3 linked regions of the Arabidopsis thaliana genome follow. The protein of the gene in region 1 interacts with the protein of each later gene in a pairwise test. Each region holds a gene or a part of one and is shown on either strand. Other genes may lie near its edges.

Evidence for each region.
Region 2: the proteins of NAP1;3 (region 1) and AT5G10400 interact in a protein complementation assay, tested with the Arabidopsis thaliana proteins (one study listed by BioGRID).
Region 3: the proteins of NAP1;3 (region 1) and AT4G40040 interact in a protein complementation assay, tested with the Arabidopsis thaliana proteins (one study listed by BioGRID).

What each region holds. Positions count from the first base shown.
Region 1 is NC_003076.8:23,029,777-23,037,244, forward strand, and holds NAP1;3 (nucleosome assembly protein 1;3), read left to right. Parts: upstream 1-2,672; 5' UTR 2,673-2,841; coding exon 2,842-2,887; intron 2,888-2,969; coding exon 2,970-3,013; intron 3,014-3,141; coding exon 3,142-3,237; intron 3,238-3,446; coding exon 3,447-3,539; intron 3,540-3,671; coding exon 3,672-3,759; intron 3,760-3,847; coding exon 3,848-3,909; intron 3,910-3,997; coding exon 3,998-4,182; intron 4,183-4,314; coding exon 4,315-4,492; intron 4,493-4,579; coding exon 4,580-4,623; intron 4,624-4,769; coding exon 4,770-4,971; intron 4,972-5,067; coding exon 5,068-5,085; intron 5,086-5,454; coding exon 5,455-5,523; 3' UTR 5,524-5,917; downstream 5,918-7,468. Other genes in the region: EMB1789 (CCCH-type zinc finger family protein), read right to left, coding at 1-500, 633-789; AT5G56940 (Ribosomal protein S16 family protein), read left to right, coding at 1,103-1,235, 1,323-1,368, 2,196-2,424. UniProt on the Arabidopsis thaliana protein: May modulate chromatin structure by regulation of nucleosome assembly/disassembly. May function in nucleotide excision repair (NER). Involved in somatic homologous recombination. Could be involved in response to abscisic acid (ABA) and to salt stress.
Region 2 is NC_003076.8:3,268,970-3,273,922, reverse strand, and holds AT5G10400 (Histone superfamily protein), read left to right. Parts: upstream 1-2,965; 5' UTR 2,966-3,034; coding exon 3,035-3,445; 3' UTR 3,446-3,751; downstream 3,752-4,953. Other genes in the region: AT5G10420 (MATE efflux family protein), read left to right, coding at 58-147, 289-345; AT5G10410 (ENTH/ANTH/VHS superfamily protein), read right to left, coding at 841-1,444, 1,559-1,971; AT5G10390 (Histone superfamily protein), read left to right, coding at 4,448-4,858. UniProt on the Arabidopsis thaliana protein: Core component of nucleosome. Nucleosomes wrap and compact DNA into chromatin, limiting DNA accessibility to the cellular machineries which require DNA as a template.
Region 3 is NC_003075.7:18,555,605-18,561,825, reverse strand, and holds AT4G40040 (Histone superfamily protein), read left to right. Parts: upstream 1-2,880; 5' UTR 2,881-3,180; exon of another isoform or gene 3,181-3,589; coding exon 3,590-3,661; intron 3,662-3,748; coding exon 3,749-3,825; intron 3,826-3,927; coding exon 3,928-4,018; intron 4,019-4,116; coding exon 4,117-4,287; 3' UTR 4,288-4,655; downstream 4,656-6,221. Other genes in the region: AT4G40050 (signal transducer, putative (DUF3550/UPF0682)), read left to right, coding at 1-127, 217-353, 434-620; AT4G40045 (uncharacterized protein), read left to right, coding at 1,478-1,900; AT4G40042 (Microsomal signal peptidase 12 kDa subunit (SPC12)), read right to left, coding at 2,256-2,537; AT4G40030 (Histone superfamily protein), read left to right, coding at 4,999-5,082, 5,409-5,480, 5,563-5,639, 5,725-5,986. UniProt on the Arabidopsis thaliana protein: Variant histone H3 which replaces conventional H3 in a wide range of nucleosomes in active genes. Constitutes the predominant form of histone H3 in non-dividing cells and is incorporated into chromatin independently of DNA synthesis.

The sequences.
Region 1 (7,468 bases):
CAAAACCGGACTATTATCAACAGGTTTCTCTAATTCCATCTCTCTTTGAACTGTTCCATTACAAGCTTCCAAAACTCCAGAACTTATAACCTCATTAGATTCAACAGATTTAGGAACCTCCTCTGCCTTTTTCTCACTTTCAACTGGATCTACTTGAACTTGAGTTGCAATATTAGGCTTCTCCAGGACATTTTGGACAATGTCATAGTCATTCACATCCAATGCCTCAAAGAGATTCACACAACTTTCTGGAACAGAATCTTGAGTTTCATTAATCATAAGCTCAAAGCTATCGAAAAAATCTGTGTGTCTACTAACAACAGATGCATCTTGCAAGTCAATTCCATCACAAATATCTCCAAGCATCAAACTCTTTTCCTGTGAAATTGTTTCCACCTTCTCACCACTTGAATCACCAGACACTCCATTGAGTTTTGATTCCGTAATTGATAAATTCTCCGGCGGTTCGCAAGTTTCTCCCGGAGACTCTTGAGCAATTTCTATGTAAGAAAACACAAATAGCATCAGAAATAGTTTCAGGCAATTTCAAGCAACAGATGAACTTTGAATTTTGATTACTAGAAGATGAATTAATCATTCCTAAGAACTTTGACTTCGAATCGAACACTGACCTGTTCGTAAGACCAGCTCCTGGAGAACTGCCGGTGTGGCAAGAGAAATTTGAGGCTCCCGATCGAAACTCGAGCAAAAGTGATAAAGCAAAGAGCGATAATTTCGATTCGGCAGATGCGTGCGTCGGTGAGGAAACGGAGCGACGGAAGATTCCATTGTCTCCGCCGGAGAATAATCTCAACCAGTACCGATAGGCTCAACTTCGGCTTGTCTTTCGCCGGAGAAAGGCCGTCTTGTGGCGGTGGACGATTTAAAAATCTTTATTGGGCTTGTATCATCTTTGATGTTAATGGGCTTCCTGATTTTGTAGGCCCAATGAATCCTTCAACAAACGGCGTCGTAATAAGGATCCAAACCCTAAAAGATTTATGGATTCAGAGTTTTCGAAATTGGAATTTCTCACTCTCTCTATCTCTCTTAGCCAGCTCTGATCATTTCGATTTTTTTCCGGTGAAAAGGGAGGAGAAACATGGTTGTACGTATCAGACTGTCGAGATTTGGATGCAAAAATCGGCCATTTTTTAGGGTTATGGCTGCTGATAGCAGATCTCCAAGAGACGGGAAGCATCTTGAGGTCTTAGGTTACTTCAATCCTTTGCCAGGTGATTGACAAAACAAAATGTATTCCAATTGGTGTTGTTCGTAGAGTTTTCGATTAAAATACACGATCTCTTGGTCTATGTGTTCAGGCCAGGACGGTGGTAAGAGGATGGGTCTCAAGTTCGATCGAATTAAGTATGTTTCTTCTCATCTAATTCTCTAGTTTCTTATGTTTTTTTCGGTAAAATCAGGTAGGTTTTGGGTTGAATTTACTCAGAAAGAGGTCTCTGAATGCTTCACTAGATGATTAAGGCTTTTCTGCATTTGAAGTGTTTTGGTTAATTGCTAAAGTTAGCTTCTAGCCGCCTCTAGATATCTTAATGCATTGTTGTATAGTCAACATTGTGTTATAGTTAACTATCTTTCGATCTGATACAAAGGAGCTGAGTTCAGTCTTTGAATGGTTTTTGTTATCGAAAGGCGAATGAATCTACATGTTTCCCATGGTTGGTTTTGATCACTTTCTTTCTCTTCATGGTATTGAACCATTAGTTGAAGCAATTTTCTACCTCATTTAATCACTAACTTATGAAAGGAAAAACTGAAATATTTGTGGAAATTCATCAACAAGTTTTGTTATATAACAAATGAAACTTCTCCGCCAGTCTTGAGTCTTTCTATGGAACTTCTGCTCTGAGTTCTGGAATTGTTTCTTATTAGTGTAAGATGAAGAACCTGTTGATTATCTATTCGTATACACACTTACTTACATTCTTAATTGTTCACCATATACAACCTCTTTTGCATAATTGTATGGTCATGTAGCTTTAGAATCTTGTCATGCTCTTTATCATCATCTAAAATTAAGATTATAATGTCCGGATATTAGAAGAACACATGTCAAGACTACTTAAAAGTTAGATCCTGGTCTGTCTTTCTTTTGTTCTGAATGACTAGTTTCAACAGAGGATGCATATAGTTTGATTAATGGACATTTTGTTTGATTCTCTTGTTCTGTACAGGTACTGGTTATCTGTTGGTGCTCAGCCATCAGACCCGGTTCAACGTCTCCTATTCAGATCCGGTTTACTTCCTCCTCCTCCAATGGTGGCTATGGGACGTAAAGGTGGAGCACGAGACACACGCCCAGTTGATCCGATGACTGGTCGCTATGTGGATGCAGAGAATAAAACAGTTAATGCCAATGATAACCAGCCTAAGGAAGAGGATACAGAAGCCAAGAGTGCATGATTCATTAGCCTTCTGTCATCGTAGCTTTTCAAGTTCACTTTGTTGTCGATTATATTGTGTAATGCAGCATTAGACAACTGACTTGTTTCCTTTGTTTGGCGATAAACGGCAAGGTGTTTGGCACTTTTTGCAGAAACGGCACATATTTTGCATTGGGATATTTTAGATTTTAAAAAATGAAAAAGTAAATAAAAATGCCAGCGAGGGAATTAAAAAAAAAAGAATGGCAGTTGTTAGGTTTAAATTTTATAAAGGAGGAAGCCACGTTTTGCGTTTAGTCGCCACCCAGAAAAAACCCTCAAGTCTTCTTCTTCTTCCTCAATCTCTCCACCTCTTTTCAAACCTTCTTCACACTCTCTCTCAATCAATCCTTTTTCTTCTCAAATCTTTCAGTTTTGATCTCTAAATTTCCAGAAAATGAGCAACGATAAGGACAGTTTCAATGTCAGCGATCTCACTTCTGGTAAATCTATATCTCCGATTTTGTTTCTGCGGCTTTGCTTCTTCTTAGTCAAAGTTTTAGAAGCTTTTTTGTTTGTTTGCAGCTCTTAAAGATGAGGATCGAGCTGGTCTTGTCAACGCTCTTAAGGTGAGTTTCTCTATCTCTTCTTATATCGATTTGCATTATACTTGAAGAGGAACATGTAATTTGGGCGTTTCGTCATTTTATAGTTTCTGTGGAGATTTTTTTGTAACTGTTATGTGTTTGATTCACAGAACAAGCTCCAGAATCTAGCTGGACAACATTCTGATGTGCTCGAGAATCTGACTCCTAAAATTAGAAGGCGTGTTGAGGTTTTGCGGGAGATTCAGGTTTGGGAAAACTTCCATTCACTTTTTATGAGCTCTATGCTTATGTTGTGATTAACGTTTCCTATATAAGCTTTTGTTCAATAGATTGGTGTAGATTGATATGGTATCTTGTGAGTATGATGTTGAAATGTATATTTGTATGCTTTTGATTATATGAGAATGCTGTGCATTCTTTTGATGATTATCTGAGAATCCTTTTCGTTTTTTAGGGCAAACATGATGAAATAGAGACAAAATTCCGCGAGGAGAGAGCTGCTCTTGAAGCCAAGTATCAAAAGTTATATCAGCCTTTGTATAACAAGGTAATTTGGTTGTAGCAAGATTAAACTATTTTGAAAAATTTAGTTATCCTGTATTTTCTTTATTTCCAGCTGTGTTGGCTTTAGTTAGCTTCGAATTTCTCTTGACACTGGCTTGACATTTGGAATGTGCAGCGTTATGAGATTGTGAATGGAGCTACTGAAGTTGAAGGGGCTCCAGAGGATGCTAAGATGGACCAAGGAGACGAGAAAACTGCAGAAGGTACTCTCTCTCTCTCTTTGCCTTTGTAAATTGTAATCATTCTTGCAAGAAAAAAACAATTTGCTTATTTCACCGGGCTGGATTGCAGAGAAAGGAGTCCCTAGTTTCTGGCTGACTGCTCTGAAAAATAATGATGTTATATCTGAAGAGGTTGGTGTTACATCTATGATTGTTCATTTAGAGTTACTTAATCATATCCATGGAAATTGACCAGAGTTTTAATTTCTTTTGATTTCAGATCACAGAGCGTGATGAAGGAGCCCTTATATATCTTAAAGATATCAAGTGGTGCAAGATTGAAGAACCAAAGGGATTCAAACTTGAGTTTTTCTTCGACCAGAATCCTTACTTCAAAAACACCCTATTAACAAAGGCGTATCATATGATTGATGAAGATGAGCCTCTGCTTGAGAAGGCTATTGGGTAATTGTTGATAACTTTTTTGTAATATTTATTCCCTAGCATATTTTGTTCTGAGATTCTTCCAAGGAGCTGCGGAATCTTGTACTGACTTATGCACTAACATGGATTTTGATTCTTTGTTCTTTGTCTCAGGACAGAGATTGATTGGTATCCTGGAAAATGCTTAACTCAGAAGATTCTTAAGAAGAAGCCTAAGAAAGGTGCAAAGAATGCCAAGCCAATTACCAAAACTGAAGATTGTGAAAGCTTCTTCAACTTCTTCAATCCTCCCCAAGTTCCTGATGATGATGAAGACATTGACGAAGAAAGAGTATGATATCATTTGGTTTTAAGACAGGCCCTATTTTGACTATGTTTGATTATACTTTTGTAGTAATGTTTTCTGTTCTTGGTGCAGGCCGAGGAACTTCAGAATCTGATGGAACAAGATTATGACATTGGGTTCGTCTTCTTGAACATAAACTCTGTCAATTTAATATATTCCGTCTAACTTATTACCAACTGTATAAGAGCTCTAGCTAGCATCTTTTATCGGAAAGTTAATACATTATTTAGTATCTGATTCAAGTATTCCTTGCTTCTTGCAGTTCTACAATCCGGGAGAAGATCATACCTCATGCTGTCTCATGGTTTACTGGTGAGGCTATTGAGGGAGAGGAGTTTGAAATAGACAATGACGATGAAGATGATATCGATGAGGATGAAGATGAGGATGAAGAAGATGAAGACGAAGATGAGGAAGAAGACGACGAAGATGAGGAGGAAGAAGTAAGCAAGACCAAAAAGAAGGTATTGGATTCCTCTTGTTTCATTTCTTCTTGTCATGGAATTACCTTTTCTGAGTTAGTTACTAACTTTTTGATATTGTGTTGAATGTTTATGCAGCCATCAGTCTTACACAAGGTACATAGCCATATTCCACCCTTCTTATAGTATTTGTCTGAGTTAATTAGATAATCCGATACCAATGAGTCATACAACGGTCATAAACTATTGACATTTATAGGCTAGACCATGATCTAAAAAGTAGAGAACATGACCCGTGAATTAGGAGATAGCTGAAATTAACTGATTAAGCTCACTATGCACGAATCTGTGAATCATAGAAACTTGAACTCTTATATGACTGAGAATTATAAATGAAACTATGTAGAATCCTTCTCATGCATATTTATAAGCTTAGGCTAAATCTAGTACTTGCAAACCATTGTGCTATGTTTGTGATAATGAGATGGATTCTATAGTCATACTCTTTTTGAAATCATATTGCAGAAAGGAGGGAGACCTCAGGTTACCGATGATCAACAAGGAGAGAGGCCTCCTGAATGCAAACAACAGTAAACAAAATCGAAAAGTCTAAACGAAAACCAGTAAAAGAAAAACAAATGTTTTGGGTTTTGAGTGAAGTTTCATGGCCTAGTTTTTTGCTTCCATGTAAGGCAAAATGTTTTGAAGACTGCTCATAGGAATGTTGCTGTAGGCAAAAGAGTGAGTTTCTCCATGTGGAGATACTTGATAAATTATTTTTGGTGCATTTGTTTTTTTTTTTTTTAATCACTAAGTTGAATTTTGGTGTGTTCGTCAAAATTATATCTTTTTACCACTTGAATTAAGTCTCTTTTGGTTTCTTTAATTTAAAAATAAATAAATCTTATCATTGTTTTTTTTGTGTGGACATAAGTGTATTATTCTTATTGTAAACCAAGAAAAAAGAACAGAAAGAAATTTGTTTTCATGTAGTTTCTTCTTCAATGGGTCGATTAGTATTTCATTATGGTCAAAGTCAAATTAATCACACACCGTGACCATTAGCAATTTAGCATTAGTGAGTGTCGTTATTCGTTAATAAATCAATTAATTGAGTCATTTAAATAGTAAACGTTAAAATCAAAGATGCACACGAAAGGGACTCTTTCTATATACAGAAAAAAATATATGTACTTGTTTTAATAGTTGATTTTGACTCCAAATGGAATTTGCTGATTCTACCAAACAACGGTTTTGGATTAATGCGTATTTGTTTTTGAATATTTTGCTTCACCGTAACAAATCATGTCCTCTCAAGGACTGAAGATTCTTTTATCAGTTAATTACAAATACAATTAGTGCTAATGAATCATTTCACATTACCCTGAGGTTATCAAACTATTGACTTCAAATCTTTGTCGTCCATTGACTTTTTTTTTTTTTACAGCTTTGTCGTCCATTGACTATAAATGTTATATTGGAGTATTGTTTAAGCGTGATTAATTTTTTCTAAAGCATGATTTAGTCAATTAGTTATTTTTTTTGCTTTTAGTGCTATTTGATCTGAATTTGAATCTAATACTCCGTTTTATTAGAAGTTTAATATTACTATTAAGGTAATCCCAAACAATAGATCATAACCCAAATATTTGATCAAAATTCAAAAGTAATGATCTAAAAGGCGTCTTTATCTTAAACTTTATACAAGATGGCTTGTAAATCAATAGTATGATACTATTTTAATAGCACGAATCAGCCAAAAGAATTTAAGACATGTAGGGTTTTATCCAAATGTTTTGTAGTAATAATTGCCTATAAAGTTATGTTCCCTCAAAAGACACAACCTAACGGAAAAATGACTGAAACAGGGAAACTGCTACATTCTCTTTTGGCCAATGTATCTGTAAGTCAGTTAATTCAATGAATGGGGATGCTAATCCAAATAGACTGTGGACAATGATTCATCACTTTAGTTGATATCATTCAAGTTCCAATATTCAAACGAATTGGCTTTCTACGGTAATAGCTAGTCTTTAACATGTAAAAAGAACAGTAAACAACTATTTTCAAAATAAGATATTTTTATATAGAGTAAATGTAAAACCAAACGCATATATCATTCTATTTTTGTTTAATTTTTACGTTTGCAATTTACAAAACAAAATGCTAAAAATGTTTAAGATAGAGAGTTCATGTAAAAGATATATATACAGTAATTTATAAATGTTTTGAATTATTGGGTCAGATCATCCCGTTTGATGATAATTAGCCATATTTAATTGCCGATATCATATAGTGCGATAAAAAAAATCATATATATAGTGAGTGGATTCGAACGATGAAAGCGATATAATTAATATACCTATTTTGGTAAGACTAGGTATACTATATGATACAATGTTTGAAGACATTTTAACTAAGCTTTTGAATTTGTCACTTTTTCCATAGAAAACAGTCAACATTCTTTTCCTCTTAAGTGTCTAGAAGCATAATCTTCAAAAGTTCCACGTGTTTAAGTGTTAATATAGTCTTTAAAATT
Region 2 (4,953 bases), about 20 Mb from region 1:
GTTTCTTTTGATGTTCATATTTGTGGAGATGAACTAACATATGTGTATGGATGATAGGGAATATGGGCCGGTATGATATTTGGAGGAACCGCAATTCAAACGTTGATATTGATTATCATCACTACAAGATGTGACTGGGACAATGAGGTAACCATTTGGAGTATATTACAAAATATCACTTTCATCTAAAATTTTAGTAAATTTTGTCATAGTTAGTACATTACTTTTTAACTTGATATAAGAATTTTTGAGTGACTGTTTACAGTGTACAATCTTAAAACATTGCAGGCACATAAATCAAGTGTGCGCATTAAAAAATGGTTGGTCTCGGACGCAGGAAACTGAAGATGCTATTTTAGTTGTCAAATAAAATTATTTTGGAGCATCCGTTTCGTAAATCTAAATCCTATTTATTGCATAAAACACATAGCTTATGGTTTCAATATCACATGATTAGTTGATTGAAATGGGCTAAACCGGAGGAGGGATTGATTTGCTTTCTTTATAAATAACAGAAAAAATAATTATGCACACTTTCACTTCATATAATTCATAAAAGGTTTATTTACATACGGAATCACTTCTTCTTTGTCTTTATGAAATAAGGATTCAAACATAATTAGAAGAAAAAAAACGAGATAACCCATTCTCAAGAGTCAAGACAAAAACCAAATTAAATCGTAAAGCTGGTATTTATGTACGTATAGTGAGAAGTCTACCATGTGTAAACCGGATCTTGCTTCACCTAACTGAACCAACCAGACCGAATTATTCGTCAATCCGTTGGAGTCGTCAAATGTTACCCATCCGGAATCCAATGTAACTTCATGTGTTAATGTCTCAGAAATCAGAATCGTCGAATGTTACCCATTCGGGTTGAACCGAACCAACCAATTCAATCATCTCCTCATCGTCCTTAACCGTAGTCTGAACCAAACCGGCCAATTCAATCATCTGCTTATTGTTTTTCTTTTCTGTTTCAGCCTTCAACATCTCAACCAAACACCAAAAATCATCCGCTAGACGTCTGCAACGCCAAAATAATCCACTCAAGCTCTCCTTGCATTCTACAAGTCTCACCAAAAGCAGACTAAAATCGTTCAGACCGAGATCACCAATAGGTTTAACACCCGGTTTAATCAATCGTTCAAACAACACCTGAAGCCGTACCATAACCAATCTCACAATCTTGAAATAGTCTTCAATCACTAGCTCTCTAATCTCGTCCACGATCTTGTTTTGGAACATAGGCGGAATCTCAGGTCTGGTACATATATGCTCAAAAAAACTCACAAGAGAATCCGTTTGTCTTATAATATACCCGGTTTGGTAAGACGAAACACGATCTTTCTCTTCAACTTTATCTTTTGGATTCACCAACAAATTTGGAAAAGATCCTAATACCTTCGGAACCCACGAGAGACGATCCAAGTATTGTCCATACCTAAGTTACATTTTTTTTTTAAAAATGTCGGTATGAACATGTCCAAATTATTAGATAAATATCACAATCAAAAAAGAGAACTAAAAAATCTTTTTAAAAGAAGAAGTAAATTACCATCTAATCCACTGAGACAATTCTAGCGTGAGATTAGAAGATTTGTCTGAAAACTCGTTCAACTTTAGATTGTTTCGACCATGACCTAGTCCTTCAAACTTGTCTCTTGATGATTTGATAAGCTTGTGGATGACGATGAGAGACTTGGTGGCCACAATAGCGTTCTTCGTGACACGTAACCTCCACAGAGCCGCTGAGAAAGCCGCCGGAGCGTAACGGCTGTTGGAGTAAGAGATAACAGCGGAGACATAGTCACTGTTTGGTGGTTTGTTAGGAGTACGAGTTGTTGACTTCAAGAGGGCTAAGTGAATGTATTTGACGGCGGTGGACCCGAAACTATGAACCAATCTTGCTTTGCCTATCGAAGCTTTGTCTTTGAATTTTCCGATTATGTGAGTTTTGAGTCCTGGCATTATCTCGATGGAACTAGATGAAAAAAAAATTGAAGCTGTTTTGCTTTGTGAGGTTGGAATTTGATTTTTATAAGCGTCCAATGTTTGATTCGCTTTCCATTTTCTTATAGTTTCCTTTTAAATCTTTTTTATATACGTGAGTTTCCTTTTGCAATCATTCAAAATTAACATTATTTTTTTGGTCGACATCCAAATTTGATTAATTTTACTTTTCTCAACTATTAATTTGGTAATATATCTTTTCATTCTAAAGTCGTCGTTCATTCATTTTATAAAACTTATATTAAACATGACGAGTTCATATTCAACCTCATAAGACCAATAAAATGTTGTTATTTGTTAAATAAAATGTTGATAGGAATGTTATAGAATAAGTCTGGCAACTACTTTGTTATTTCTATTACATATATAGTTTATTTGTATTGACTATTGACTTTACACCAATGTTTTTTTTATTTGTATTGTAAATGAATAAGTTTACCAATGTTATATTTAACGAATAGGTTTACCAGTATTGTCATTTATCTAGTATCTAATTAAAGATTAGAAAAGTCAATACAAATTAACTATATAAGTAATAGTAATAACAACCACACTGCAGCCACCAGCAAATTCCATTAACAAAATAAAGATCTCGAAAATTTGAACACCAATTTACGATTTTTTAACGTCAACATGAATGATATATTCATAAAAATGTGTTGAGAACAAATTTGGTCAAGTCAAGCTTTAGATCCGTAAGAATAATTGATTCATGGCTTCTTCCGCATAAACACATAAATCAAATTGTATATGTGAATTTCGGCATTGACAATTTTGGTAACATATGACGTGGATGCTGAGAAAGTAATTCTTATTGGTTATTAACACAGGACGCGGATCGTAAAGATACAAACATTTCTAACCGTTGATAAGCCAAACAGATCTAACGGACAAAACACAATCACTTCCTCTCTACCTTTGAGTATAAAAAAGCCTCACAACATCACTCACTTTCCCATCGATCGCATTCTCACCGAATCAAATCCAAAAGAGCAAATTTACAATCTTGCGAACTCCTAAAATGGCTCGTACCAAGCAAACAGCTCGTAAATCCACCGGAGGAAAGGCACCAAGGAAGCAACTCGCGACCAAAGCTGCGAGGAAATCAGCTCCAGCCACCGGAGGAGTGAAGAAGCCACACAGATTCCGTCCAGGAACGGTGGCGTTGAGAGAAATCAGGAAGTATCAGAAGAGTACTGAGCTTTTGATCCGTAAGCTTCCGTTCCAGAGATTGGTTCGTGAGATTGCTCAAGATTTCAAGACGGATCTGAGGTTCCAGAGCAGTGCCGTCGCAGCTCTTCAGGAAGCAGCTGAGGCTTATCTTGTTGGGCTCTTTGAAGATACTAATCTCTGTGCGATTCATGCTAAGAGGGTTACGATTATGCCTAAGGATATCCAGCTTGCGAGGAGAATCAGAGGAGAGAGGGCTTAAGTGAACGAAGATGATGAAGATTAAGAAGACTAGTCGTTTAGTTATGGATTAGCTTGTTTGGTTTCAATGGATATGTAAAGCTGTCTCTTTTCGTTTTCGAGTGTTATTAGTTTTTTACTTAGATGTGTCTTCCAGATGTTCGATGAAATGCCTAAAGGAAATTTTAATCTACTGTTGTCTAATCTTTTGATTCGTTCTGTCGATCTCCATATTTCTGCCACGCTTAAGAATCGTTTATCAACGGAAGAGTTAATTTTTTGCTCGATGAAATTGTCCAAATTGATTTGCAATAGTAGCTGCTTAGGGATTCTCAGTCTTCTTCTCCATGAACAAAACATTCTACAAATTCTTATTTAGAACTAAATCATTCACTAAACGTAAGAAAAGTATCGGTTCTTTACAAAATCAAAGTGAGAATTCGCAGATTGTTCTATTCCTGGTTATACCATCACAGTAAGAAATCCTCCAAATTATTTTACTTAATGCGTAGATTTGCTGAATAAGAGTAATGTAATTTCTCGAAATTTGTAACTTCAGGCTAAATTTGTTATGTAAATTTTGAAATAATTTCATCCTTATTTTCTACGATTGAATTTTTTTGAGACCCTTCATAGCCAAAATTTTCGATTTGGCGCCTAAAATTAAAAGATTTGGAAGTAGCGCAAAAGCCTACGTGGACTGAAAAGGATGATTTAAATTGGTTGATAGTAAATGACACGGATGGCCGGAATTTTAGTCTATTTTAATTCGTTGATAAGGTCTCACACGGATTTATACCTGATGATCTCAGCCGTTGATTGAAATATTTAATCCAACGGACAAGAATACAACTTTCCCTCCAAAAACAAAACTCCCTCCCATGTTTTTTTCACCTCACCGCCAAATTTCTCTCCCCATAAAAGCAGTCCCTCTTCTGCGTTGATCTTCACTACAAAATTTCTCATTCGCATCCTCCACAAGAAGAAAATTCGATCGGTCGATTAGTCTTTGTTTGATTTCGAAATGGCTCGTACTAAGCAAACCGCGAGGAAATCCACAGGAGGCAAAGCACCAAGAAAGCAACTCGCAACCAAGGCGGCAAGGAAATCTGCTCCGGCCACCGGAGGAGTGAAGAAGCCGCATAGATTCCGTCCAGGAACTGTTGCCTTGAGAGAGATCAGGAAGTATCAGAAGAGCACTGAGCTTCTGATCCGTAAGCTTCCTTTCCAGCGTCTGGTTCGTGAGATAGCTCAGGATTTCAAGACGGATCTGAGGTTTCAGAGCAGTGCTGTTGCTGCTTTACAAGAGGCTGCTGAGGCTTACCTTGTTGGTTTGTTTGAAGACACTAATCTTTGCGCCATTCACGCTAAGAGGGTCACCATCATGCCTAAGGATATCCAGCTCGCGAGGAGAATCAGAGGAGAAAGAGCTTGAAGACTGTTGTTATGGTTTATATCTTTTGATTTAGTTCGTCAATGGAACTCTATTTCTGGATTTTGATTTGCGTTTTAGTAGTAATGGGTTCTTGT
Region 3 (6,221 bases), on another chromosome or scaffold:
ATCATTCGAGAACCCATCTACTGATGATACGGAAGCACTAAATGGAAGTCAGTTTACTTTTTTCTTAACAGCTCCTTTACAAGCATTCTGTCAAATGCTGGGCCTCTCAAACACCAAACCTGACCCTGTAAGCACTTGTGATTTGAAAAACCGTAAATGAACCAACCTTTTTATAGTGTGGCATGCGTCTTTACCATTTCTGATTACAATCTTCAGGAATTATGTGATGAAGCAGAGAGCATACTTTCTGCTTCCTTTTCCGAGTGGGAAACGATTCTCTTGACTTCCAAAGTCTTGAATCTTGTCTGGGCACAGGTCTTACCTGATCCATTCTTGAGACGGCTGATTCTCAGGTGAGTTTTTCTCAAAGTTTTCGGAATCAAAACCTCACAAAGCATGGACTCTTGTCAAATATTGTCTTGTTGTTGTGTAGATTCATATTCTGCCGGTCTGTACTCACTTCCTTCAGCCGCACAGAGGATGATGACCCGTATTTACCTCAATGCCACCCGAATCTCCCAGAGCTGCTCTCTTCGGTATCTAAACCGGTGCAGTCCTCAGTACAACGACTAGCTGAGCACTTGGGTGTTGCCAAATCTTTCCACTTCACCAACACATAAAATTAGAAAAATCCATCCCTGTGGTTGAGAGTAGGTTGGTGGGTGAGAGAGTAGGTTGTTTGTTCGTTTTTGTTATAGAAGTTTGTATTTGTTTAGGGTATAAAGAAAAGAGAGAATTGTAATTTTTATTTTGATTTGATGATTCTTTAGTTTTGTCATATTTGTAAAAGATTAGAACAAGGTAATAATCATTAGTCTCTTCTTTAGGATGGTTTGCTTTGTGTACGAGGAGAGGTTAACAATATCTGTGCATTGCATTAAAGAAACTAAGAAAGTGTGACATTGTTCTATCGCTTTTTCATAAACATCTATGTAAGTTTGAGCCAAGAACGAATTAAAGATTGAAACTTTACCCAAATTATCTATTCAACTTTGTGATGAATGGGTTTTAAGTTTCAACATTTGAGCTCAAGAACGAAGTAAAAAGGTTGATACTTTTTTACAAATGATGAAAGGTGCCAGAGATTGAATCCTAGCCGTCAAATAATAAATCAAAACGCCAAGAACAAAGGTGTCTCTGTGAGATTGAATCGTAGCCATCGAGTCCAATTTCTAACCGGAACCGCTTGATTTCGCTGTCTTCTAGTTCTGCGACCTATCATCGCTTTAGTGGAAAGGAGGAAGAAACATGGAGATTTCGAGGTGAGTTTGCAGAGATTTGAATAAATCTTTGGATAGTTTCGTCTGGTATTAACTATGTTTGGTTGGAGTTGCGATTATTAGTTTGAGAAGCTTTTAGATCTGTTTTCAGGGAATATTCATATATTGGCATATCTGTTTTTCAATTGCAGATGGATTTGACTACTCCAAGAAACCCATAAAGATCTTTGATTTGAAAAACCTAAATTCCATCCACTATGCTAACTTTGAGACCTTTTGTGCCTGTAACAACATTAAAGCCTCGTTTTTCATACAACATTCCGCATCATCATCATCACATTCGCTTGTGCAAATCTCCTTCATTAATCTTGAGAACAAATGCTCAAAATGGCAACGACTCGGCCAAGGAGTCTTCTGGTGGCGGAAACAGACCTGTTACTAACGATGATGGTAATGGTTCCAAGAAAGACCAATTCGCTGGTTTCAGTTTCAAGTGGGGAGAGCTGTTGAATCCAGATCAAGATAACTTTGTGGCTGTTGGATTAGCTGGAGTGTTGACTTGGGCTAGCCTTCAAGTCTTGTCTCAGCTTTTCTTCATCTCTTTCGCCATCCTTGTCGCTGCTCTCAAGTATTCATTTATCGCTGCTCTACTCATTTTCATTCTCGTCACTCTCCTCTAGCTTTGTCTACTATTGTCTTTATAATGGTCATTTACTACTAAAGAATTTGTACCAACAACGATTCAGATTCTACTCTGTTATTGTAATCGATTTGAAGAATTACTACAGATACATGCATGAATGTACATTTGAGCTTGGTATCAAGTTTGGTGTGAATTCGAACATGGTTTAAACCCTCTTCTTGAAACACTGAAGAAGAATGTCTTACGAACCAGTTCAAATCTCAAAGTTAACACCTCTTATGATCCAACTCGAAGCAATGCATTGATATATCACAATCAAAAGCAATGGCGAGAATCGATTAAAGTTATTTCATTGAGACTTTATTAAGCTTAAGTTATATTAAGAAGAGACACTACTTTTTAGAGGAGGATTTCTTCTTGGAGCTAACAACAACAACTTGAGGTTTAGGATGTTTCTCTGCTTCACTTGGATCTAACCACTTAAGATGATGACGATTAAAGCAAGGCCAATTAGGTATTGTGATCAGAGTCGTCAGAACAACACCTCCGGCGTAAATCAACATCATCATCCTAAACGACGCCGTTGTGTAACCAACAACGAACGACACAACGGCGGCGATCAGAAGCAGGATCTGCATTAACTGCTCCGCCAATTTCTGCCCTTGCCAATCCATATCTGAAGAAGAAAAAAAAACACAAAATTACGATTTAGATCCGATATAACAAAATTTGAATCGCACAGATCGATCTCTTTGGAGATTCTATACCTAGAAAATGGAGACGATTTTCAAATCTCTGTAAAAATTCTGGTTTCTTCTTGACGGAAGAAGACGACGACTCCAATATTTCGGTTAGTACTGAACCGGAAAGTTTGACTGGTGCAACCAATTTAATGTACCGTACGTAACGCACCAATCGGATTTTGTATTCAATGGGCCTTATCTGTGAGCCCATTAATTGATGTGACGGCCTAAACTAAATCCGAACGGTTTATTTCAGCGATCCGCGACGGTTTGTATTCAGCCAATAGCAATCAATTATGTAGCAGTGGTGATCCTCGTCAAACCAGTAAAGCTAGATCTGGACCGTTGAATTGGTGCAAGAAAGCACATGTTGTGATATTTTTACCCGTACGATTAGAAAACTTGAGAAACACATTGATAATCGATAAAAACCGTCCGATCATATAAATCCGCTTTACCATCGTTGCCTATAAATTAATATCAATAGCCGTACACGCGTGAAGACTGACAATATTATCTTTTTCGAATTCGGAGCTCAAGTTTGAAATTCGGAGAAGCTAGAGAGTTTTCTGAGGTACGATTCTTCGATCCTCTTTGATTTTCCTGGAAATATTTTTTCGGTGATCGTGAAACTACTGGAATCGCTCGATAGGTGGTACGAAATTAGGCGAGATTAGTTTCTATTCTTGGCCATTATCTTGTTTCTTCGCCGAATGATCTTCCGGATAAAGATTTTAGGTTAGAGATGAATCGTATAGCTAGATTTCATCACCAGATAGTTTCTTTGTCTAGAATCTCTGAAATTCTCGATAGTTTTCACATGTGTAAATAGATTGTTCTTATTCGGCGATTGTTGATTAGGGTTTTGATTTTCTTGATTATGCGATTGCAATTAGGGATTTTCTTTGGTTTTGTGTTGATCTTACGATACATTCCGGCAATTGAATACGTATGGATCTAAATCTTGTTAATTTGTTGAACAGATGGCTCGTACTAAGCAAACAGCTCGTAAGTCTACTGGAGGAAAGGCTCCTAGGAAGCAGCTTGCTACAAAGGTAAGACTCGGGCTCTCACATGTGATCTGAGTAGCTTGATAAACACATTTCTAGATTTGTTCTAATTGGTGGATGTTTTAATTTAAGGCTGCACGTAAGTCTGCACCAACCACTGGAGGAGTCAAGAAGCCCCATCGTTACCGTCCAGGAACTGTTGCACTACGGTATGCAATCTGTTTCTTCCCCAAATTCAATTGTGTTTTTACTTTATTGATATCGTCATTGATTAAACTCTGTTTCTCTGTTTTATTGATCTTGATTGACAGTGAAATTCGTAAGTACCAGAAGAGTACCGAGTTGCTGATCAGGAAGCTCCCTTTCCAGAGGCTAGTTCGTGAGATTGCCCAGGATTTCAAGGTAATGTGTCTGTTCGTCTGATTCAGTCTACAAATGGATTTAACTTTTTACTTGTTTTGTCATAACCTTGTGTTCTTATCTTGTCTCTTTGATTGCAGACTGACTTGCGTTTCCAGAGCCATGCTGTGCTTGCACTCCAGGAGGCTGCTGAAGCATACCTTGTGGGTCTCTTTGAGGACACTAACCTCTGCGCCATCCATGCCAAGCGTGTGACCATAATGCCCAAAGACATTCAGCTCGCTCGCAGGATCAGAGGAGAACGTGCTTAATTGTGATTGGGAAGTAGTTGGATTATGTGAATGTGGGTGGTTTTCTAAATAGATAGTTGGAATTAGATAATGGCTTAAAAAGCTTTTGGGTGTAGGAGACTTGGAAACAATGGTGTTTTTTTTTTCTTTTCTTTCTGTTTCTTGTCTAGTCGGTTTATGATTTGCTTGTGTTCTTCTTAGCTACGTTTTGTGGTGTGTATTGCTTTCTTCTTTGGCAATGTTGAACACCTTTTGTTGTTGAATTCATCTCTGAAACATATGAATATGTTAAAGTTTCTGACTCTTGTTTCATCTGTATCTGTTCGATATTGTATGATTGAGTTTTATTGTTTATCAATAAGCTTTCTGTTTCAAAGTTCTTTTCAATATCAACAACTTTTACGTTCACGAAATTGGTAATCCGTGTGACACTTAAAATCTCTAATCGTGGCCGTTGGGCTGTGTTGAGAAAACACAATGTACAATAGTTTGAACCGTAGGATAAAGAATGTGAGAAAGCACAAAGGAGCGTATCGTGATAACCCTTTCGTGAGTATTATAAATAATAATTCAACTACATTGCGGCCACAACCACTACTTCAATCATCCCCTATTACTGCTTTTGTTACGAAAGACAAAAAAACAAAACAAAACAAAAGTCAGCTCAGGCGAAGAACAGGTATGATTTGTTTGTAATTAGATCAGGGGTTTAGGTCTTTCCATTACTTTTTAATGTTTTTTCTGTTACTGTCTCCGCGATCTGATTTTACGACAATAGAGTTTCGGGTTTTGTCCCATTCCAGTTTGAAAATAAAGGTCCGTCTTTTAAGTTTGCTGGATCGATAAACCTGTGAAGATTGAGTCTAGTCGATTTATTGGATGATCCATTCTTCATCGTTTTTTTCTTGCTTCGAAGTTCTGTATAACCAGATTTGTCTGTGTGCGATTGTCATTACCTAGCCGTGTATCGAGAACTAGGGTTTTCGAGTCAATTTTGCCCCTTTTGGTTATATCTGGTTCGATAACGATTCATCTGGATTAGGGTTTTAAGTGGTGACGTTTAGTATTCCAATTTCTTCAAAATTTAGTTATGGATAATGAAAATCCCCAATTGACTGTTCAATTTCTTGTTAAATGCGCAGATGGCTCGTACCAAGCAAACCGCTCGTAAGTCCACCGGAGGTAAAGCTCCAAGGAAGCAACTTGCTACTAAGGTTTTGTTCCTTCTTGTCTCTTTTTTCAAATAATACTTGTGTTGTGAAGTTGAATGTTAATCTCCTTCTTTATTAACCTCAGGCTGCTCGTAAATCTGCACCAACTACTGGTGGAGTCAAGAAACCACATCGTTACCGTCCTGGAACTGTTGCTCTCCGGTTTGTCCCTTCTTCGATTTGTATGTGATTCTTTGAGATTATGTAACATTGTGTGTTAACATTCCTCTTATCTTTTGGTGTTCAGTGAAATCCGTAAGTACCAGAAGAGTACTGAGTTGCTTATCAGGAAACTGCCATTTCAGAGGCTAGTCCGTGAGATTGCTCAAGATTTCAAGACTGATTTGCGTTTCCAGAGCCATGCTGTCTTAGCTCTCCAGGAAGCTGCAGAAGCATATCTTGTTGGTCTCTTTGAAGACACTAACCTTTGTGCCATTCATGCCAAGCGTGTGACCATAATGCCCAAAGACATTCAGCTCGCTCGTCGTATCAGAGGTGAACGCGCTTAAGCCAACCAAGAATCCGAGATTTGGTTCAAGTAGTTTTTGTTTTTTATGAAAGCAAGATCTTAATTGCTGTGTTTTTTAAATCTCTGGGTATGTAGTAGTAAGAGTAGTAAGAAGTCTGCAATCTAAGAATGTTGTGTTCTTTAAGCTTATTATTATGTGTGTTGCGAACTCTTTTTAACTCTTTTGTTAAATTCTTATGTTTTCTTAACTCGTTTGTTCGTCACCATTGCTTTCT